3 linked regions of the Canis lupus familiaris genome follow. The protein of the gene in region 3 interacts with the protein of the main gene of each other region in a pairwise test. Links are inferred from orthologs where the notes say so. Each region holds a gene or a part of one and is shown on either strand. Other genes may lie near its edges. The genes, in order: CHD2, CSNK2A2 and TRIM41.

Region 1 (3,648 bases), on a different chromosome or scaffold from region 3:
TTACCACCAGCAGGATTTCCGACGAATGTCTGACCACCGCCCCCCGATGGGCTATCATGGCCAAGGACCCTCAGACCATTACCGCTCTTTCCACACAGACAAATTGGGGGAGTATAAACAGCCCCTGCCCCCTCTGCACCCTGCAGTCTCAGACCCTCGCTCACCCCCTTCTCAGAAGTCTCCCCACGATTCCAAGTCACCCCTGGATCACAGGTCTCCTTTGGAGAGATCATTAGAACAGAAAAACAATCCAGATTATAACTGGAATGTTCGGAAAACATAAAGGACGACTGGGAAAGAAGGGCAGAGCAAGAGTCATTAAGCACCTGGATATTTTTGGTCTGATCCAGTAGGAGCCAGTTATCTAGACCAATAAGTGGAGTTTCTGGACATGCTGCTGTTGTCAGCTCGCCGGTGGAAGGAGCACCTCGAGGAGTGGAGGGCCTTTCACTCGGTCCAGCTTGGGTTTGGGTCACCACTCCTACACTTTGACACCCCATCCCATTCCAGCCTGGTTCTGGCCTGTCACTGCGATGGGTGCTAGGAGGAAGAGGTGACTTCTGTGTACCAGCTTTGTGAGCTGTGTGTCCCCAGAGAAGGAAGAAGGGATCTTAGAGTCATGAGTATTTTGTTGCCCTGAGCCTGGGTGCAGTGGGCTGGGTAGGAGCGTGTGTGTGTGTGTGTGTGTGTGTGTGCGTGCGTGTGTGTGCGCGTGCGTGCGCGCGTAGGCAGCCAGGACCTGCTGGACGGCACACGATTTGCTTCACTGTGACGTGACAGATGCTGCTGACAGGGAGCGGGGCGTGGGTCTCGCCCCGTGGGACTTGAAGGGGAGCAGTACACTCCTCGGATGTGTTCTTGGGAGAAACCGTGCTGGGGCCTCAGCATGACACCTGTGGTGCAGGGGGGCTAGACAGAGGAAAACAGCTTCCACAGTGGCCCCTTCCCGACCAACACTAATTTTTCCCACACTATCTGTACATTTCAAAGGCTTGGTCTTCTGAGTGGGCCTCCTTTGCCCTGGTGCCAGGGAGAGTAGGGTCCATCTGGCTGACTTCTGAGCACTGTGAGCTAGGCAGCATTGGAGTTGGCATGGGTCTGCCTTTGTTGGGCATGGGCTGAAAGAGGGGCAGGGGCAGTGTGGCCAGGGACTCAGAGTCCCTCGGTGCATTTCTGATCCTGTGATAGGAAGTATTAAATTCAGAGCCTGGGAAGGAGGGAGAAGCTTGCTGCTGGCAGGGGCCCAGGTGGGGGTGCAGGTGTTAAGCAGGTTTCCTGGGGTGGGGCTTCAGGAGTGCCAGGGAATGGGGGCTTTCGTGTTGTGCCAGGTCAGCGTTTGCAGCTGCCTTGTAGTTAATTCTAGTTCCCTTTGCACAGTGTGAATAAGTAGATGACGCACAGCACACATCTCCTGACCCCGTGTGGCGGGTGGACAGGTGGAAACTCCGTTACCTATGGGGAACCCACACATTAGAATTGAACTGCTTATTATTATTATTTTTTTTTTTTTAGGATGAGATCAAAGTATAAACCTAAGTTAAAGTTTTTCCAAACTAGGATGCCTCCAAGGACAGGGGATTGAGCTGCAAACAGGAAGAGTCCTGGGGTTGAACGAGTCAGTGGTGGGAAGGCAGATTGGTTATACCAATTAATCAGGCTCCTTTCATTCTGCGGATCCTGGGCCTTCCATTTTACTCATTTTAAATATAGCTTGCCAGTATTGTTTGAGTATCCAAAGGCCTTTCTAGGTGGGATAATGGACTTGAACCTACAGCATGCCTTCATGTGTCCAGGCTCAGAGCAGGTGAAAACCTTCCCATTAGGCATGCCCAGGGTCAGCTCTCTGAACTAACCCATGAGGACTTCATAAAATGATCATCACTTACTTGCCAGGACCCTGGGCAGCACCATTAATGCCTTTACTAAGGAATTCTCAAGTCCTGTCACCCTAGTGAAGCAGATGTGGCTTTGGTGGTTCGTTGCATCTTGCTGTCCCCAGTATCCTGGGGCCGGCCAGGTGTGCATTCTAGAGGGGCTGGGTCCTCACAGCTTGTGTTGGGAGTTCAGTGGGCCTGCCCCCTCCTGATCTATCTCCTCATGGTACTGGGTAGTTCAGCGTGGGCTTGTACGTACCTGGTCAGCATGCCCTGGAGCATAGCCCAAAGAAATGCATAGGATCCCGTGGCCACAGTCATCCCATTGGGACTGTTCTGTGAGAGAAGAGTGTATTTGCTTTGGCCACCACCAGTAGCTTCTTGATGACAGTACTGAGACTACCCTGTGTTTCTGTTGCCCAGGCCAAAGAGGAAGGCTAGGTTGATTTGCTTGTCCTTTGGGTTGGGAGGGGAGGGAAGAGGGAAGCAGGTGCCCCCAGCATAGCATGTCTCTCCCTGTGGGAAGTCAGGCCGTGTCTTCTGGGAGGCATGGCAGGAGGCCCTGAATTTCAGTTCTCAGCCAGGGTGGTTTTCTCTGAAGTTGATAGGAGGTGTGAGTTATTCCCAAAGATGTCTCATCATGAAGAAAAAGGAACTTCCTTTTGTTTACATTCAGGACTTTTAGTGCCATATGATGTAGCAAAAGGCAATATTAGCCAGATCAGTGTTAAATTGATTATAAAATTACAGTATCCCCATAAAAGCGTCTATTTTAGTGTTGAAGTATGTTTGAAGAGTGAGTTGGGAAAAGGAGGCATTTCCTCATTGACCTAAATCAGTATAAATACTGTATGCTTTTGTCAAAAACGGATTTGCACAGGTAGGTATTCTCTCCCCATGGGGATGGGATAAGCTGCCCCGGGAATCTGCAAGGGTGGTATTCCATGGAGCCTAGCTTTGAAGGATTTCATAATTGGGTAGAAACAGCAGGGTTGAGGAAGAGGGGAGTTAGCATCACCTGAGCTCTGGATATAAACAAGGATTAACGTGGTACACCACAGCCCTGGAAAAGGATGCCTGAAAGCCCAGGTCCAGCCCTGCGGTCTTTCCAGAGACAGCTGGAGAGAAAAAGCCAGGCCCTCTGCAGAGCCCGAGCTGGTGGCCCCTGGGCCCCCTCTCTCTCCTTCTAGTCATTCCTTTCTTTAGCCCTTTCACGGGAAACCAGAACACTTCTCACATCGTGCCGCAGACATTTTAGCCTGATGCCTGAGAGCTGCATCAGGATGTGCGGTGCACATGCAATTCAGTTACAAATTCACACAGGGACACTGGAATCCTACAGACCAAAATCCACTCGTCAGCAGGAGCGGTGGCCCTGGGCGGAGCACCAGTGGTTTTCTGGCTTGTCTGAGGGCTGCCGTGTGGGGCGAGGAGAGCCAGGCCAAGGGTCCAGGCTGCTGTAGTCCATCCGTACCCCATGCGTTTGGGGACAGATGGTTTTTCTTTATTGTAAAATTGTGGACTTTTAAAAACCTGTTGACTAAACAGTAATTAATTTATATTTGTGAAAAATGCCACTGTCCTAGTGATTTCTGATGTAAATACTGTTGTTTATATAGTATGTATTAAATTTTCCTACATTGTAAAACTGCTGTACTTTTGATTCTTGTATATTAAAAAGTGTCACTAAGGATTTTTAGAATTGGTTGAACACAGTTACGTTGCGTTGGCGTGAACTCTGACTGGATACACCTCCGGTTCCTTCCCTTCCCTT
Region 2 (3,648 bases), on a different chromosome or scaffold from region 3:
GAGGCATGGTTATTGTCCTCTGTCGCAGCAGTAAGCTGCCCCTTGGGAGATTGTATTCACGTGAAGCTGTCACAAATAATATGCTTGCGTTGGGAGGTTGGTAGACAGTGTGCTTACTTTTCTCTGTGCTTTCTTATCTAATAGGCTCTGGATTACTGCCACAGCAAGGGAATCATGCACAGGGATGTGAAACCTCACAATGTCATGATAGATCACCAACAGAAAAAGGTACCGTTGCAGCCAGGCAGCAACAAGGCTTTTCTTAAAAGGTCTAGGGCAGACCACAACTCTAGGTATTGACCTAGGAGGGACTGCAGACCAGTACTGTTTTCTTTGGCAGACTTGTGTTATTGTTATTTCTCCGGTCTCCAGTGTTGCTTTCTGCTCTGCATGAGCATGGTACACAAGGAAAGTAGACCCGTGAGCCTAACTGTAGTCCCTTGTTTATTTTGGTCATGGTTTTCCAGAGGGCCTCGCAAAGAAACTCCAGCAGATGGTTTGTACTTCTTTTAATGACCCTTAGACCAGTCTGCCTAGCCTTTACACTTGGGTCCCTCCTGTTTTTCATATCCAATTCTGGTTGTCTCTGATTGGTGAGTAAGTGATTCCACTACTGTGTGATTAATGAAAAGCTGGAGCAATGCTTCAATCCTGGGGTGGGGCCTGGGTCTCCAACCCTTTGTGTTGTGGCTTGAGCTTATGATGGGAGCTGTTAATAATGGGGGAATGTGTTATATGCAAGTAAAACAGAGGCAGAGTAAAAAGCTTAAGCTTGATTGATGGGAAGAGAATGATAAGCCAGGATAATTTAAATTAAAAAAAAAAAACAACAACAAATAAGATTCTGAAAGCTCTACTGTAGAGGTGACCTCTTCCACAGTTGCTGAAAGGGTAATTTTTGCCAGTGCACTGGCTAACATTTGTTATGTAGCGCACATATTGTCAGCTAACGTGATGTGGCCTTTTTCTAAGGCACAGGTGTCTAGAAACACTCCTTTACGGGTTTGATTTCTGTTGTGTTTGTAGCTGCGGCTCATAGACTGGGGTCTGGCAGAGTTCTACCACCCTGCTCAGGAGTACAATGTCCGTGTAGCATCGAGGTACTTCAAGGGACCGGAGCTCCTTGTGGACTATCAGGTACAACTCACGCCTCCTTTGTGTGTTTCCTTAGGGCTTCTCCTCGTGTGCTGTTTATTAAGTCAGTTTGGATACATTCAAAACCCCAGCCTGAAGCAGTCATTTCAGATTTTTCTCAGTGACTTTTTTTTTTTTCTTTGAATTCTAAAATATGTGCAAAGGTCAACTGAAGACTAGAAATCCAGATCAAAGAAATACATTTGCAACACCTTTCACTAACAGGCTGACCTTGTTTCCCCAGATGTACGATTACAGCTTGGACATGTGGAGTTTGGGCTGTATGTTAGCAAGCATGATCTTTCGAAAGGAGCCCTTCTTTCACGGACAGGACAACTATGACCAGGTGAGCAAACACTAACTGGCTCTTCCCCATGTGGGGGCACATGCCAAAGAAATGGGAGTCTGTTGACAGGGATGCTATCCTTGAGTCACTCAGTGTCTGCACTTAAGTTCTCCTTCAGGGTAAAGAGCTTCATGAGATTTTGTCTGTGGTTACTAGGTCCCCAAACATAGAGCCAGATAAAGCTATCTTACTAAGCTCCACGTATGCCCCACAGTGAGTCTGTGAAGAAGTCAGACACACCTTGTCTAACAACTAGCTTCTAGATTAGATTGTGATGCCCCCGTAATTGTCAGCTTCTGGAAGATTATTGTCTTAAGTTATTACCATTTTATTTTTGTTTTGTTTTTAATTTTTTTTTTTTTTATTTATTTATGATGGTCACACAGAGAGAGAGAGAGAGGCAGAGACATAGGCAGAGGGAGAAGCAGGCTCCATGCACTGGGAGCCTGATGTGGGATTCGATCCCCGGTCTCCAGGATCGCGCCCTGGGCCAAAGGCAGGCGCCAAACCGCTGCGCCACCCAGGGATCCCAGTTATTACCATTTTAAAGGGAGTTTGGAAATTTGCTTTCTGTGAACATCATTGGCCTTTGGTCTACCTCCTGTCAGCCCCGGGCTCCAATCTGCCTCTGGTCCCTGGAGATTCAGTGATGGAGAAGTCCTCTCATTTCTTGGGATAGCATCCTCACAGGCTTGCGGTGAGCTCTGTGCTCAGTAATTTGGTCAGTTTGTTTTGTGTTTCAGCTTGTTCGCATTGCCAAGGTTCTGGGTACAGATGAGCTGTATGGGTATCTGAAGAAGTATCACATAGACCTAGATCCGCACTTCAACGATATCCTGGGACAGTAAGTAAGAGAGAGGGAGAGAGAACGAGGGTTTTAACTAAACCCATTTCAGAAGAGGGAATATTCGCCGAAATCACTTGCTAATCATAGCAAAGTTGAAAATACCCTTCTTTTTTCTCATGTATGCTTTTTAAAACTTGTTTTGAGGTTTGGGCATTGTTTACATGTGTCTTCTGATCGTTGTACTTCTCCAAGAGATAACCTGTCAGTCCATAGAAAATAGGAGACAAAATCCTGTTACAGTGAAATGCTTTGCAGGACAGTGTATGCTTATTTTAATGGAAAATCTTAGAAAGCTGTGATTCTTCTTTGAGGAAGAGATTTATAGTTTTTTCTTGTTCTAGTTAACGGGTTTTCTACAAGGTGGCAAATTTTATTTTTTTTTAAGATCTTATTTATTTATTCATGATAGACATAGAGAGAGAGAGAGAGGCAGAGACACAGGCAGAGGGAGAAAAGCAGGCAGGCTCCATGCCAGGAGCCTGACGTGGGACTCGATCCCGGGACTCCAGGATCGCGCCCTGGGCCAAAGGCAGGCACCAAACCGCTGAGCCACCCAGGGATCCCCCCAACGTGGCAAATTTTAAAGCATATTTGCAGGTACAGTGTACTAGTGTTGAAAAGTAAATGCGTTGACAGTTCTCAGTGTTTTGTGGAGCCTCTGTTTCCAAGGCTAGCTCTCTAAATATTTTTGCTGCACAACAAAAATAACTCTGTCACCTCTGTGCCTCACCAGAATTGACTAAAAGCCTGATCCATAAGAAATGATCTAGGAAGGTGCCACAAATTCTAAATCAGATGTAGAAGCTTTAGTTCATTTTATCAGAGAGCATGTTTTTTGTTTCAAGATGCCTCAGATATTCCCGTGGAGGGTGGGGCAGACACCTGTGAGAATGAGATTTAATAAGTTTATAATCCTCCTGGGGTTCTAAGATTCTATTGGCTTTAACCATGGTAATGTCTGGATTCTTGTTGAATTGAATCTCAGTACCAGTGCTTCCCTTTCCTCCTCAGACATTCACGGAAACGCTGGGAAAACTTTATCCACAGTGAGAACAGACACCTCGTCAGCCCTGAGGCCCTAGATCTTCTGGACAAACTTCTGCGATACGACCATCAACAGAGACTGACCGCCAAAGAGGCCATGGAGCATCCCTACTTCTGTGAGTCTCCAGGGACCATTTGCAGGGGCCTGATTTATTAAAGGAATAAGTCTCCTGTTCTTTATCTTTGAGGCCAGTCAGGAGAATTCTAGGTGTTTGGATTGAATCATCCTTGGAATTTGGCCTCATTCATTCTGGACTATTGAGACAGCTCTTGCAGT
Region 3 (3,748 bases):
GTAAATACAGGGCCATGAGGTCATCCAATACAAACCATCTCCTCCCCTTTTTGCAGATGGTAGCATAGCTCACACTTTTCAGCATCCTGCTTTTCTCACCTCACAATACATCTTGGAGAGCATTCCCATTTTACAGCTACGAGTATTGCACTGGGTGGAGGCTCGGGTAATTTTACTATTCCTTTGCTGAAGGGCAGCTAGAGAGGTTCATCCAAAGGACACGACAGTGACCAGACGACAGCGCTAGAATGCGTATGGGAATGCCAGCCACAGTGAGGAGGACGGAGAAGGTCTCGGGTCTCGGGCCCCGGCCCCCGGCCCCCGGCCCCCATCCGTCTCGGAGGAACTCCGAGTTGCCAAACAACAAAGTCCTCGGCCTAGAAGGGCCGGAAGTACTTGAGGGCGCTCAGCGGAGCCCGCCCCTCCGCTTCCGGCATCGGCTGTGGGGAGGCCCTGGTGCAGTCCTCCGTGTTCGGTTAGTAGGATGGCGCCAGGCCGACGCGGTCATAGTACCGAGGGCGGACGGCCGCTAAGCGCTCCCATCCTCCCCCAAAGTTTATCCCTAGTGGCGAGGGATGGGGGAGGCCGGTTCTTCCGGGTCGTCCGCGTTCCCTGCTCCTTCCTATTACAGAGATGTGGGCCTCCATCGTTCTAGCTCTCCTGCCCTGTTCCCGTGTGCCTGCTAGAGCGTCTCCTCGTCGTTTCCTGTCGCCCAGAGGCCCGGGAGGAAAGAAGGGGGCGTAGCGCTACCACGGAGGGACCTTGCGAGCTTGGGCGACGCTCAGACACCGGAAGTGTTGGCAGGGAGGCCGGAAGTGAGGGGGAGGAGCCAGGAAGTGAGGAGGGGCGGGGGCTTATGAGGAGGCCAAGGGAGCGTTGGGACAGATTTGCACTCAGGGCCACCTGAGGGACTTGGCTGTAGCGCTCCGCTCTGTCCCCTCCCCTCGCAGAGACACGGTTGTCGTCTAGGAGTAGGAAACTCTGTGTAGAAGGGTGGGTTGTCGGAGGACCTTCCTCTGTCTGCGCTAGAGACAAGGTGTGGAGAGGCGGGGTGGGGGTGGGGCCGGGTCGTCAGGGAGTCTGAGAGGGAAGACCCCCGCCCCCCCGCCCCCCCACCGCCCATCTACACTGGCTGACTGGACACTAAGATGGCTGCCGTTGCCATGGCACCCAACCCTGTGCAGACCCTTCAGGAGGAGGCGGTGTGCGCCATCTGCCTCGATTACTTCACGGACCCCGTGTCCATCGGCTGCGGGCACAACTTCTGCCGAGTGTGTGTAACCCAGCTGTGGGGAGGGGAGGATGAGGAAGACAGGGACGAGTTAGACCGGGAGGAGGATGAGGAGGACGGAGAGGAGGAGGAAGTGGAGGCAGTGGGGGCCGGTGGGGGGTGGGACACCCCCATGCGGGATGAAGACTATGAGGGCGACATGGAGGAGGAGGTCGAGGAGGAAGAGGAGGGTGTGTTTTGGACCAGTGGCATGGGCGGGTCCAACTGGGACAACATGGACTACGTGTGGGAGGAGGAGGACGAGGAGGAAGATTTGGACTACTACTTGGGGGACATGGAGGAGGACCTGAGAGGGGAGGATGAGGAGGACGAGGAGGAAGTACTGGAGGAGGACGAGGAAGAGGAGCTAGACCCCGTCACCCCACTGCCCCCGCCTCCAGCCCCTCGGAGGTGCTTCACCTGCCCCCAGTGCCGAAAGAGCTTTCCCAGGCGGAGCTTCCGCCCCAACCTGCAGCTGGCCAACATGGTCCAGGTGATTCGGCAGATGCACCCAACTCCTGGCCGAGGGAGCCGTGGGAGCGAGCAGGGCATTTGTCCAAAACACCAGGAAGCCCTGAAGCTCTTCTGCGAGGTGGATGAAGAGGCCATCTGTGTGGTGTGCCGAGAATCCAGGAGCCACAAACAGCACAGCGTGGTGCCATTGGAGGAGGTGGTGCAGGAGTACAAGGTGAGAGAAGTAGAAGATGGGAGTTAAGTGGGGGTGGAGAGGAAGTAAGAGGAGCTGGGAAAGGAAACCTGTCCCCTCCTGCCCCCAGAACCTCGTGCACTGATGAGCTTATTCTTCTTTTCTAAGCACTTATTGGCATCAAGGTGGGTTAGATTAAGAAGGATCCTGTACACGACGAAGCAGACCAGTGAAGAAGAGCAGGAAGATTGGTTTCCTCTAGAGAAATTGGGCAAAGCCCAGGTGATGTCACATCACTGGGCTGCATCTCTTGGGGAAAGCCACTGCCGTTTCACACTTCCGTTGTCCCTAAGTGTAGGCGTGCAGGTGGCAGGCCCCTCTGGCTTTACCACCAGTCTCATTTTCCTTTCCTTCAGCCTGTCCTTGACTCAGATGCCTGGAGATGGGAAGGACTTGGGGCCTCAAAGAACAGGAAAGGGCCTTAAGGAATGACTAGTGTCAGATTCAGGTGCTCTGCCACTTGCCTTTTAATGGATTTTTCATCTACCTCATGGTTTGGCTTGGTTCTCTTATCAAAGACTTTTGTTGGATCTGCATCAGCATAATGTACTGACTAGAACTTAACCTTTCCTGAGAATGCAGGAAAAAGGGAGAGGCTTCTTCTTCTTTTTTTTTTTTTTTAACCATTTTATTTATTTATTCATGAGAGAGACAGAGACACAGGCAGAGGGAGAAGCAGGCTCCATGAAGAGAGCCCAATGTGGCACTTGATCCCGGGACCCCAGGAGGCAAGCGCCAAACGGCGGAGCCACCCAGGGATCCCCAAGGGAGAGGCTTCTAAGTCAGAAGACTGGGCTGGCTCTACACTTATTCACTCAGGCATCTTTAAAAGTCTTGGAACTTTAATATCTCAAGGATTAAAAGTTAATATTTACTGAACACTTGCTATGTACACCAGGCACTGTACCAAGCACTTTTCAGGAACTATCTCATTTAAAACTCAAAACAATCCTGTTAAGTTTGATGTGGTTTCTATCCCCATTTTATAGATTAGGAAGCAGATTTAAGTAATATACACAGGGCCACACAGATGGGCTTGGTTGTGACCCCTTCCCCTGCATCCCTGCACACTGTTAACAATGTCACCACCATTTAGATATCTGTTAGTTTGACTTTCCTGATATGTGATTCTAGTTTGGTTAATGCTTTGCACCCTACTTCTGGCCCTTACTCTTTTGGGATATGGGTCAAGATTTGCCTGTAAGACAGCACAGTTAGCACTACTTAGGGAAGGCTGGGACAGGTTTGCAACAGTGGGACCGGGAGGAAGAAGGGGTAGCTCCTATGTGGCCTGTGCAGAACTTTTTTGTTTTATGACCTGTATTTCCACACCTTCTCACACAGTAATGTCATTTAGGGAATCTTATCGTTACCTCCATTTTAGAGTAGAGAGTCTAGAGCTAGAGTACAGCTAAGACAGACTTACATCTTATGACAAGTAACTATTTCATCCACACAGTGATTGTCCCCATTACTAAGGGAGTTTTCAAAAGTACAGTGGGCCCTACCACTTGAGATTCTGAGTCAGAGACAGGGAGGATATCAGAGTATCTTTAAGGAAGTCCAGCCTAGCATGGGAATCACTGCATTGGTAATATCACCTGCTTTGTAGGCCCTGAGTTGTTTGGGGAGGTTGTGATCTCCTTTTGTCCATTTTTTTTTTTTTTCATCTCCTTTTGGCTCTTAGTTAACTGTACCCATCAATGGGCAATTTGTTAATTGAATGTTGGTGTGGAGTATTCATGGGCATTCCACCACTTCTTCACCCTACT

What was found.
Region 1: the proteins of TRIM41 (region 3) and CHD2 interact in binary tests that used the Homo sapiens proteins (3 or more experiments, as listed by UniProt). The two-hybrid records come from large-scale screens. The link is inferred for Canis lupus familiaris from reciprocal best matches to the Homo sapiens genes TRIM41 and CHD2.
Region 2: the proteins of TRIM41 (region 3) and CSNK2A2 interact in a two-hybrid assay, tested with the Homo sapiens proteins (3 studies listed by BioGRID and IntAct). The two-hybrid records come from large-scale screens. The link is inferred for Canis lupus familiaris from reciprocal best matches to the Homo sapiens genes TRIM41 and CSNK2A2.

Annotation. Positions count from the first base shown.
Region 1 is NC_049224.1:47,591,920-47,595,567, reverse strand, and holds the end of CHD2 (chromodomain-helicase-DNA-binding protein 2), read left to right. Parts: coding exon 1-283; 3' UTR 284-3,576; downstream 3,577-3,648. UniProt on the Homo sapiens protein: ATP-dependent chromatin-remodeling factor that specifically binds to the promoter of target genes, leading to chromatin remodeling, possibly by promoting deposition of histone H3.3.
Region 2 is NC_049223.1:57,697,666-57,701,313, forward strand, and holds part of CSNK2A2 (casein kinase II subunit alpha'), read left to right. Parts: intron 1-144; coding exon 145-228; intron 229-1,026; coding exon 1,027-1,137; intron 1,138-1,378; coding exon 1,379-1,480; intron 1,481-2,223; coding exon 2,224-2,324; intron 2,325-3,338; coding exon 3,339-3,487; intron 3,488-3,648.
Region 3 is NC_049232.1:598,902-602,649, forward strand, and holds the start of TRIM41 (E3 ubiquitin-protein ligase TRIM41), read left to right. Parts: upstream 1-1,086; 5' UTR 1,087-1,148; coding exon 1,149-1,958; intron 1,959-3,748.